Linked DNA regions of Mus musculus: all the other regions are reported to be linked to region 1. The links are microRNA targets in miRTarBase. Many come from high-throughput screens and were not tested one by one. Region 1 holds a microRNA gene; each other region holds the end of a gene's coding sequence.
Evidence for each region. The annotated mature microRNA mmu-miR-335-3p reads UUUUUCAUUAUUGCUCCUGACC and lies in region 1 at 1,034-1,055, opposite strand. An mRNA with a match to its seed (bases 2 to 7 or 8) in the 3' UTR can be bound and repressed. Matches are read on the target gene's strand: a 7mer-m8 pairs with bases 2 to 8, a 7mer-A1 pairs with bases 2 to 7 and ends in A, and an 8mer does both.

Region 1 (3,257 bases):
CTGCAGTCAGTATTTTACTCCCCTTACAGTACATAAAAAGCAATTCTACATTTAATGAGATTTTATCAAACAGTTCAAATCTGCAAAAGAATTCTAGGGCTGACCAGAACAACAACAACAACAAAAAAAATATCTTGAGTTTTGAGTATTTTTTTTAGGACATAAGCCAGACCTAGAAACATTATTACCTTGTACCAGTCATAGCTGGATGTTGGAAAGCCATGTAAAAGCACAACTATCTCAGGGCTTCCGACCACACCGACAGAATCTAGGAGGAAAATGAGAAATGAGGCAAACTGCATGCAAGGCAGCCTTGACGACACCAAAATCTAATCCAGTCAAAAGGATCAGACTAAATGAATGACATCACCATGCTGTGTTAGAAAGCAAGCTGACAGGACTTCAGGAGCTTCCTCCTAATCTGCGCTTTTAAATCGTAATGGCATGCTTTACATGAAAACCCTTAAAACAGTTTGTTCATCATCACTTAAGAGTTGTGTAGACATCCTCATATTTTCGCTGACATTAATATAAAACTCAAATTTTTAAATAAAAAGGAAAAACAGTTAAAATACTATAATCACAGCAAGCTAAAACTTCTTTGTCCCTAATCAATATTTATCACACCTAATATCTAAGATGTGACAGTTCTTCCCAGTGGATCACCTGAGCTTATACCATTTGTCCATATACTAGCAGAATTCATGCAACTCAAAAAATCAAACTGTTACAAAGATGGGCTAATAGTGATGGGAACTTTTTCTGTATGTGACATATTTCAGATTATTCAAACAATAAAATACCTTGCCAACAGTACTGGATTGAAATTAATACTGCTAGTGGAATAAAACTTTGGTAGCATGTTTTCAGAAATTATTTAATTAAAAGCAATTAAAATATCATATACTGGATTTAACCTAAAGAACCTATGCAAATAAGATGTAACACTGAATATCAAGTCTGGGAAAGAACAACAAGCCAACATAAAAAAAAAAATGCATACTTACTCGACTGGCTATAACCCATGAGAGGGGGTCAGGAGCAATAATGAAAAACGGTTTACGAAAAACAAACATTTTTCGTTATTGCTCTTGACCCCCGCCCAAAAGAAATCTTTTCCAATCTGTTTCTCGGTTTCTTCAGCTATAAAATGAGGTTAATGGCACCTATCTCCAAATGCTGTTGTAAAAATTAAGTGAAAAATGAAATAATGAAGGTTAAAATATAACTGAATATCCTGAGTGTGGTAATTAAATAGCAGTCATCAAGTCAATCTTATCAGCTACATATAACAAATCACGGAAAATAGTGCATGAATTTGGGAATGGGGTGGGGCGTGGGGGAAACAAAGGTATAGATAGATCTCGAAATACTATATAGCTTACCTGACACTAGGGGCGCTCAAAAGAGAAAAGTAATTTCTCAAATACAAATGGGGCTGCAATTACTACCAGGCACAATTCTACCCCCACCTTCACCTCACCTTCACTGTGGAGCAACAGACCAAGGGACACAAAATAAGTAACTTCAGCTGAAACCTACACGACCCACGTCCTTGGGATTCTCCAATAGCCCAGTTCTCACCTTGGTAGAAGATGCGTAGGCCTTTGTAGGTGAAAAACTTGCCAGAAGTCTTCCATGAGTGCAGAGCAGGGGAGAGCTGAGGGGGCGGGATGTGCAGGTACGCAGCCAGCAAGGGCACAGCCAGGAGCCCTACTTGGACCCACCACTCTCTCATCCTGTGGAAAAAGCAGCCAAGGTAACATTGTACACTTCCAAAAATCAGAATGAAACATGGGTGGGAAACCTGGGCACTGTGAGGTTTGACCCCACCCCCCATCCCTCCCCTCCCCTCCCCACCCCTTCCCACTCGACCCCTCCCCTGCCCACTCCACCCCTCCCCTCCCCACTTCACCCCTCCCTTCCCCACTCCACACCTCCCCACCCAACGTGACAATGGCATAAACTTTACCAAGAAGAATGTGATAAACACCTTTACCCTTTGACATCTGGCAGTCACTGTACTAGCTCACTACCATTCTTTCCAAGCACATATGTAACTTACTGCATGGCCTTAAGCAGAGAGCTGCTCCTGGGTTCTAACACATACATATCCTCTGACCAAGTGAATCCCCATTTGGCACTACTGTCTGCATTTGGGCTATGGAACTGTTGAGGGGAGAGACCAGGAGAATTCCAGTAAGCAGCTTTGCCCTGACCCTGAATATCTAATCTCTTACAAGTCTGGGCAGCAGATTATATTTGTGCATTCTTAGCAGACTCTTGAGGTGGTTCCCTTTTATTTAATTAAGACCCCACCCCCACACCTAGCACTCAAGACTTTTGTGGGGGGGGGGGGCAGGAGGGGGGGGGAAGCACAGATTTGTGGCCCCAGCTTGCCATGCCTGGATTTCAAAGGTCCAGATCAATTTATCCTGGAGGCGAGAAATAAGGCACGATTAGAAACCATTTCCTTTGTGACCCGCCATGGTCACCAAGGAAAGGGTTCTCTAAAGAATTGGGATAGTGCCTCCTAAACTAAAGCTACAGACATTAGGAAGTGAGCTACAAATAAAACCGCTGTCTTTGTATTTGAGTGCACCCTATACATAACACATTACCTGCAATTTGATGAAACTGACTGGGTTTTTGTGTGTGTGGGGGGGGTGTTCTCTGTAAACCTGAAATGGTGGGTAAAAACCAGCACCCCTTAGGAACCTCAGCTGCCTGCCTCAACTTTAGTCAGCGCTGAGACTTTTTTTTCCTTCCTCCAAAGTCACTGTCCAATAAAGACACAAGGCTTTGGTTCTACCTTTTGAGGCTATACTAGAAATGCCTGGCACAGTGCCAGAACACGATGGTTTTTATCTCAGTCTGTTATCCACTAACGGGTTTTAAGGCTGAACCTCTTTGAAAAGCAAAAGCATTAGGTTTGGGGGAGGGGGGGGTCTTTTTGTTGTTACTGCTCATTTCCTCAGAACCCATTTGGTCCTGTTACCTGTTCATACATTTTCATGTAGCCTCTGGGGCATCCTTGCTGGACTCACTGAATCCGCAGTGACTCAGCAGAACGCCGGGGAGGGGCGCCTACTGCAGAGTGAACAGGGGCTTCCTGCTGGCGCAGGGAAACAGAGGTGCCACACCCACGCTCTCCGGACCATACCTCAGTGCACCTCCTCCATGCAGGAAAGGGGGGACAACCCCCCCCCCCAGCCATTCTCAGCTTTAGTTACCTTGGTAAAAATACCCCAAACATT
Region 2 (3,257 bases), not on the chromosome of region 1:
GTCTTGGAAATAAATTGATAAAAATAAAATAAAATGGAGAGTAGTTCTCTCGAGCCTGGAGCCCACACTCTGATGCTGTTCTCTGTTGGTCTGCACTCGTGTTTGTGGTTCTCAGTGAAAACATGAGGCTTTAGCTAACTTCTGTGGATCGTACTTCAAGCACTTCTGTGTTTAAAGATGCCCGTGTGAGCTAGGCTGGGAAAGCATTGTTCTTGGTGTTTGGAAGTGTCTGAGGAGTTCATTCTCTCACTTGCCTCCTGATGTCGATTACAGGTTGAGGCTCCATTCATACCAAAGTTCAGAGGCTCTGGCGATACCAGCAACTTCGATGACTATGAAGAAGAAGAAATCCGTGTGTCTATAACAGAAAAATGTGGAAAGGAATTTTGTGAATTTTAGGGAGGAGAAAGATAGCCTGGAGCTCACACTCAGCCCTTGCACGCTGTGGAGGTGGAAGGTGGAGCCGAGACCTGCTTGTTGGAGCGGGTTCCAATCCCTTCATTCCAGCAACTGCGTGAGGTCTTTCCTGCGTCATCAGTGTGCGCTCGCTCTGCAACCACCTGTGTCCCCAGGCACGGCTCCGCAGCATCGTCTGCCATAACACGGTGTGCACCACGTCCTCCTGGTTTGGTTTTTCTCCACCCTCCTATATCCTTCTCATTCACTTCTCTGACCAGTGCTCCCTTTATTTTCCTGGTGTTTCAGATGGGCAGTGTTATGGCTGTGTGATATTTAAAAGGAAAGCTACATGTTGCTTTTTGTAGTTTTGAGCAATATTTTTGCTGACCAGTGGCTTGAAGATAAACTCTCTAATGATTATTTTTATTTTGAGTAGCTTGAATTCAGTTTTGCCAAAACTCTTAGTAATTTTGAAGATGGAATGTCTTGTCAGCATGGGAATTTGCATAAGTAAAGATAACTTTTCAGGGGTCACTGATGCAGCAGTGAGTCAGAGCGCCTAGAGAGCAGTGAGGACTCCTGGACGAGAGGCTACGTTCCCCTGGGCCTTCTAGTGCTCTTCACTCCGTGAGATAGTAAGTGACCAGACAGATAAGTGAGGGGCATGGCTCCTCGCCGCAGCTGTCTCCCTTGGTACCGACCTCTCTGTGGGCTGGAGAGAGGCCTAAGGTTTCTGAGCCTTGGCTCTTCCATGGGGGCTTCAGCCAGTATTTGAGGAAAGTGTGACTGAGAAATGACACTTTGGGAGGTTTCTCCGTCCTCATCGGTGGGCTCTTAAGGGAAAAGAGCAAACGTGCATTTGGATAAATGCTAAGTCAGCAGAAGCCTTGATACCTGCTTGCAGCTTAGAGGTTCTCTCCTTTAAGGGAACTTGTCTGTTTGCTTTGGTTCGTACCAGGTAAGAAAACAAGCAAAGCAGTAGCTTATTGCGTCCTCTTCTGAGGGAAGAAGACGGCAGGCGGGCACTGCCGCAGCTCTGCCGTGTCCCTGCCTGGCTAGTGACAGGAGAACGCAAAGCTTGAGACACTGCCACATTTGTATTTCATGCTGAGCTGTGATATCTTTAAGTACGTCAGAATTGCTAACCTCTTCCTTCTCTTTCATAGACAGAGTATATGATCATGCGGATACAGTTTTCATATTTGCTTTTCCTTAATTTTTCTATACATTTTGCCAATTGACTTAACAATGTTGCCATCGTGAGGACATTTCAAGCACTCTTGCACATTTAGTTCAGTGTTCCTTTGTGAATAAATGGCTTCACTTTTTTTTTACTATACTTTCATTACTTTTAATTTTCTCACCTCATTTTATCTCTGTATCAGTGACCTACCTTAAATAGTCCACTTACCCAAATAGTTTAAAATATTTCATTTCATGATGAATCTCCAAGGATATAAGATTGTTTTAAGTCAGACAAACCCTGTTGTATATAGAGCCTCTCTATCTGCCTCCTTACTGGTGCAGGTAGGTCATTGACAGCAGTCCTAGTCATATGCACACACACCCTCACCAAACCCTTGAAGACATTGAAAATCCTATCTGAGACCTTCTCTCCACCTATCTGCATGTGTTTTGGTTGTCAAGTGTTTCTGCATGGCAATGTCCCACAGTAACAAATAATGATTTCAGTTGGTCCACCTGTATTTAAAATGTGCAAGAAAAACTGAAATACTCTGCTGTAGCAAGTTCTGTGTAACAAAGATATATCATCGTGTTAATAAACTGAAAGCATCATTTGTATAAAATACTTTATTTACTTTTATGTATTTCATTTAAATCCAAGAACATGCTAATCATGTGTTCTATGTATGCTACAAATTCTCTGGTAGCGTTGTTGTATATTAATGTAAAATTACTTCAATAAATTGTGGGGATGACAATTTGATTATTATAATTTAGTTTTCAAAAATTGATGAACAGATTTCTATGAATCCTAAAAATATTTTTTTCTATAAAATTATTAGTGCCCAGCTAGAATCTACCCAGGTAGATGACACCTAGGTTTCTGGGGCTTCTCAGCCATTCCATTTTATTGTCTCTGTTGGAAGTACACGAGCAAACCATCAGCTGGGTCAAGGGGTCTCTTTCTGACTAACCAAGTACACTAAATTGGAGTATTTTTAACATGCCTAAAATTCCCATTTTTAGCCACAGCTGAAAAGACTTTCTTTAAAAACTTGAAATAGTAAGTCAGTGGCAAAAACCAGTATTTTATTCAAAGTATATTACGTAAGACAGAAGAAATGGTGTTTTGCCCATTAAATCAAGAGATGGCATTGTATAGGACAGAGCCCTGGACTGAGGGAGACTTGTTGGAGTGGCGTTGTGCAGACAGAGGGCAGAAGCAGGCACGTTGTGGGACCCCCGACTCCCTGAGGTAGGTCAGGATTCCCTCCTCAGCTAATATTCTCAAGGGTATCCCGCTGTGAAGTAAGCTTTGATAGCAACACGTTTCTGTTTGTCCTCCCTCTTACCTCCACAGTGTGCTGAAAACCCTTTGACTATCAGAAAGGCCTTGTCTGTTCCATTCCTTCCTTCCTCCCTCACTGATGCTAAATAGACACTTGATATCAAACTGTCAGCCTACCAAAAAGAAGCCGTGGCTTATGGGTATTGCTGTCTTGTTCTTGGTGTGTACCTGTACTGATTGCCCCTTGGTCTGAAAAAAAAAAAAAACAATGCTCATTGTAAGCCTAAAAATACATGATTATCTTTTCCCACTGACTGTTGTTCTTTCCTTCTGCTTGTTGTAAGAATCAAATGAAATAATGTATGTAAAGGCACCTTGTAAACTG
Region 3 (3,257 bases), not on the chromosome of region 1:
CACCGCGGCGACAAGCCCTTCACGTGCCATGAGTATGGCAAGGCCTTCCGAGGCCTCTCAGGGCTCAGCCAACACCAGCGGGTCCACAGAGGTGAGAAACCCTATGAGTGCAGCGAATGCGGCCGGGCCTTTGGTCGCCGGGCCAACCTCTTCAAGCACCAGGTGGTGCATGGTGGGGTGCGGCTCCAGCACCGCACTCGAGGGAAGGGATTCCAGCGCAAGCTCCTGGAGCATCTGCGGGACCTCCATGGGCAGCAGCCCCAAGAGGCTGGAGAAGGTAGCTCCGCAGAACCCCAGCCCATCGACACCAATGAGAAGCCCCAAGTTTGTGAGCGCTGCGGCCAGGTCTTCGAGAACAAGTTGCTGTTGTGTCGCCACTTGCGCATCCATGACGACGAAGATGACAAGAAACAGAAGCCTGTTATTTCGAGCACCTCAGTTTTGGAGGATAAGTCATTGCTCAGCCAACATCTGGAAGCCCAGCCCACAGAGGAAAGCGACAGCGAAGGCAGTGTAGTTTTCGTGTATGCTGAGAAGCCCCACGGTCCATCCTCACCTTGAGGCCAGAAACAGGGCAGCAGTTCAGAATGGCAGGATGGCCCCTTCCCCAGTGTGAAACAGAGAAGCAATTCAGAATGACAGAGTGCCCTCCACCTTCAGTGTAGTTTGTCCTGCTCCTTCCCTGATAGGTCGAAAAGGAAAGCTCCCTCCGTAGTCCTGGATGATACAATTGATGCCTAGAGATTGTACAGGCAGGCTCCTCAAGTTACCTAGGCAGGGTTCTCCTGTGTGTGCTTCGGTGTGTGAGTGCCTGTGTGAGTGGGGTCTCCAAGTGAGCAGATTTGTTTTATACAGAGTTGGTCTTTTCCATCCACATGGGAATTGCCTGATGTAGTTAGAAGGGAAGCAGGTAGGTCCAGCCGACTCTAGGCACAGTTACCATGAAGTTTACAGACAGATGACCCATGTCCTTTCCCTTGTTTAATGTGGGGTGGTTTCCTCCCCTTGAGAGTTGTGTTTCTAGGGAAAATATACTAAAGCTACTTTATTCCATTAAAAGTTTATAAATTGAAGGAGCTCTAAAATTGACTTGATGCTTTATAGGAAAGCACAGGGAACCTGCTGTCCTGGGGCGCAGGCTAGGCTATATGTGAAAACTTGGACCCTATTATGTACCCCTGCTGCTGCTTGGAGGGTCTGTACCAAAGCTGTCATCTTGCAGAGAGGTTAAAGTCCAGAGACCTGAGGGTCTCCATTTTGGGAAAGGAGCCTCTTTCCTCTGGTGCCTCATAGAAGAAGGGCGTAGGTAAGACATGGCCTCTTTGTGCCACTCCTATCCACTGTCTCAATACCTACAGTTTCTCTGCTAATCCCTTTCATGGAACCCATTGTGTGCTGATAACAGGTTAGGAGTTTGCACTTAGATGGCCCCAGAAATGAGTCTGGCCAGACAATTACCTTTCAGACAGATGACATTTGTTAGAATATTAAAGTTGCCATTATTTTAATATGCTTTTGTTTGCAGGTAAAAGTTGGGAAATGGAGATCTTTGTTATATGAGAGTGTTGGGGAATTGATCCTTTATAAAAATTCCTCAGGCAGAGGGTGTAGCTCAGAGGTGGAGTACATGCCTAGCAGACCTCGGGCCCTGTGTTCCATCCCTGACTCCTGCCCAAGCTCAGACAGGAGAAAGTAGCCTTTCCAGCCCATGACTGGTGAGTATGGTGGCAAGTCTGGCCCTCCAAGTGATATCACTCACACACACACATACACACACACATACACACACACACACACAAATACACACAAACACACATACACACACACACACACACACACACACACACACGTCTTAAGCCTGGTTGACTTTAATTAGAACTAAGGGGAAGGTGTTTTATAAGAAAATCTGTAGCAGTTCTATTCTGCCTGTGCAGAAACCCTGGAGATTTGTCCCTTGGTATACTCAGCTCAGCATCCTGGGCAGCAAGCTACTTTCCAGTCCTCTCATATCCCAGGAGGGAGAAAGATTTTCTCACAAAGCTGCCTGAGGGCAGGTGGGGGGTACGGGTAAAGTGGAGGCTGCCCTTGGGCACTCCAAGAAGAGTGATGGTACCTTCCCTGCAAGGTTAGTGAGGTTCAAAGACAACTGCCTCCTGCCAAGAGAGTATGGGAAGACCTGGAAACTTGGGATGCTGGTTGGGGCCCTGGTCACAGAATAACTTCAGATATTCTTACACAAATATGCACACACACACACACACACACACACACACACACACACACACACACACACGTTTTATGTATATAAAATGTTTTGTGTAAAGTTCTAGTTTATAGCTTGCTCTTATCTCCATGTCCTCCAGACTTGTCCTGTGATTGCTTTCTTTCTCATGAGCCTGCAGTTGTATGTTGTGCTCAGCCTTGTGTCTCCACTCCAAGTCCCATGTTGGATACTAGTGAAAGAGCCTTGCTCTCTTAGTGTACTGGACTTGGGCTATGTAGTAGTTGGCTTCAGTGGCTCCTGGACGCAGTCCAAAGTATCTGCTACCTTGGTTTCCCACTAGAAAATGAAATACTAAGAACAGTGTCTTTTAATTCCCTGGTGAAGTAACTGCTCAGACAGTCTCTCCTAGGGCTGGCACAGATACAGGAAACTAGGCCTCATGCAGTGCAGGTACCCACAGTGGGAGGTCCTGTGCAGACTGTCATGTGTTCTTAAATAATCATTTCCATGGCTCTAGGAAGGGAATGCATGATACCTATCCTGTAAGCCTGTCACCAGCTTCTATACCCAAAGATAAATCTCCAGAGAAGGGGTCATGTGTAGTTATTTTCAGCAGAAAGTGGGGTCTGCAGGGAGAGATGTAGAGCACTTTAGAGTGGAGTACCCTGAAATGCTCCAGAGTCCCCAGTGGTTGCTACATACCTAGCAACACATCTCAGTTTTCTACTGTAGTTCCGGTTCCTAGATGTTTTCAGCAGGCAGTTAGGTGTAGTAGGTTCTCTCAGGTATGGTAATCAGGTATGTAAAATGAACGAACAAGCTTCTCCTGGGATAAAGTCAAAATAACCAGAGGCGCTTGTGCTTTCCCTTGTTTTGTGCCTGAAAATTGGTCCATTCCTTATGCTAGATGGGGAATGGGGCTAATGGTTCATTTGTGTGTCTTGAGTGGCAACTAGATTATAAACGCTTAAACTATCAAAAACTCCTGCTGTTTTCTAGTCCCTCCTTTTTCTGTCTTCCCTCCATACTTTAC

Region 2: the mRNA of Prkacb is a reported target of mmu-miR-335-3p. Seed matches in the 3' UTR shown: 7mer-A1 at 3,123-3,129.
Region 3: miRTarBase lists Zfp92 as a target of mmu-miR-335-3p. The part of its 3' UTR that is shown has no 7-base or 8-base seed match.

What each region holds. Positions count from the first base shown.
Region 1 is chr6:30,739,152-30,742,408 of GRCm38, reverse strand. It overlaps Mir335 (microRNA 335), which reads right to left and starts at 1,110; the gene lies at 1,013-1,110. It overlaps Mest (mesoderm specific transcript), which reads right to left. Exons shown (of 12, transcript NM_008590.2): 2 at 1,585-1,739; 3 at 189-268.
Region 2 is chr3:146,729,730-146,732,986 of GRCm38, reverse strand. It overlaps Prkacb (protein kinase, cAMP dependent, catalytic, beta), which reads left to right. Exons shown (of 10, transcript NM_011100.4): 10 at 274-3,257. The coding sequence ends at 399. Among named protein-coding and RNA genes, the nearest start is that of Gm36521, 46 kb to the right of the region's middle.
Region 3 is chrX:73,422,309-73,425,565 of GRCm38, forward strand. Zfp92 (zinc finger protein 92) reads left to right here. Exons shown (of 6, transcript NM_009566.5): 6 at 1-3,257. The coding sequence ends at 561. Among named protein-coding and RNA genes, the nearest start is that of Trex2, 11 kb to the right of the region's middle.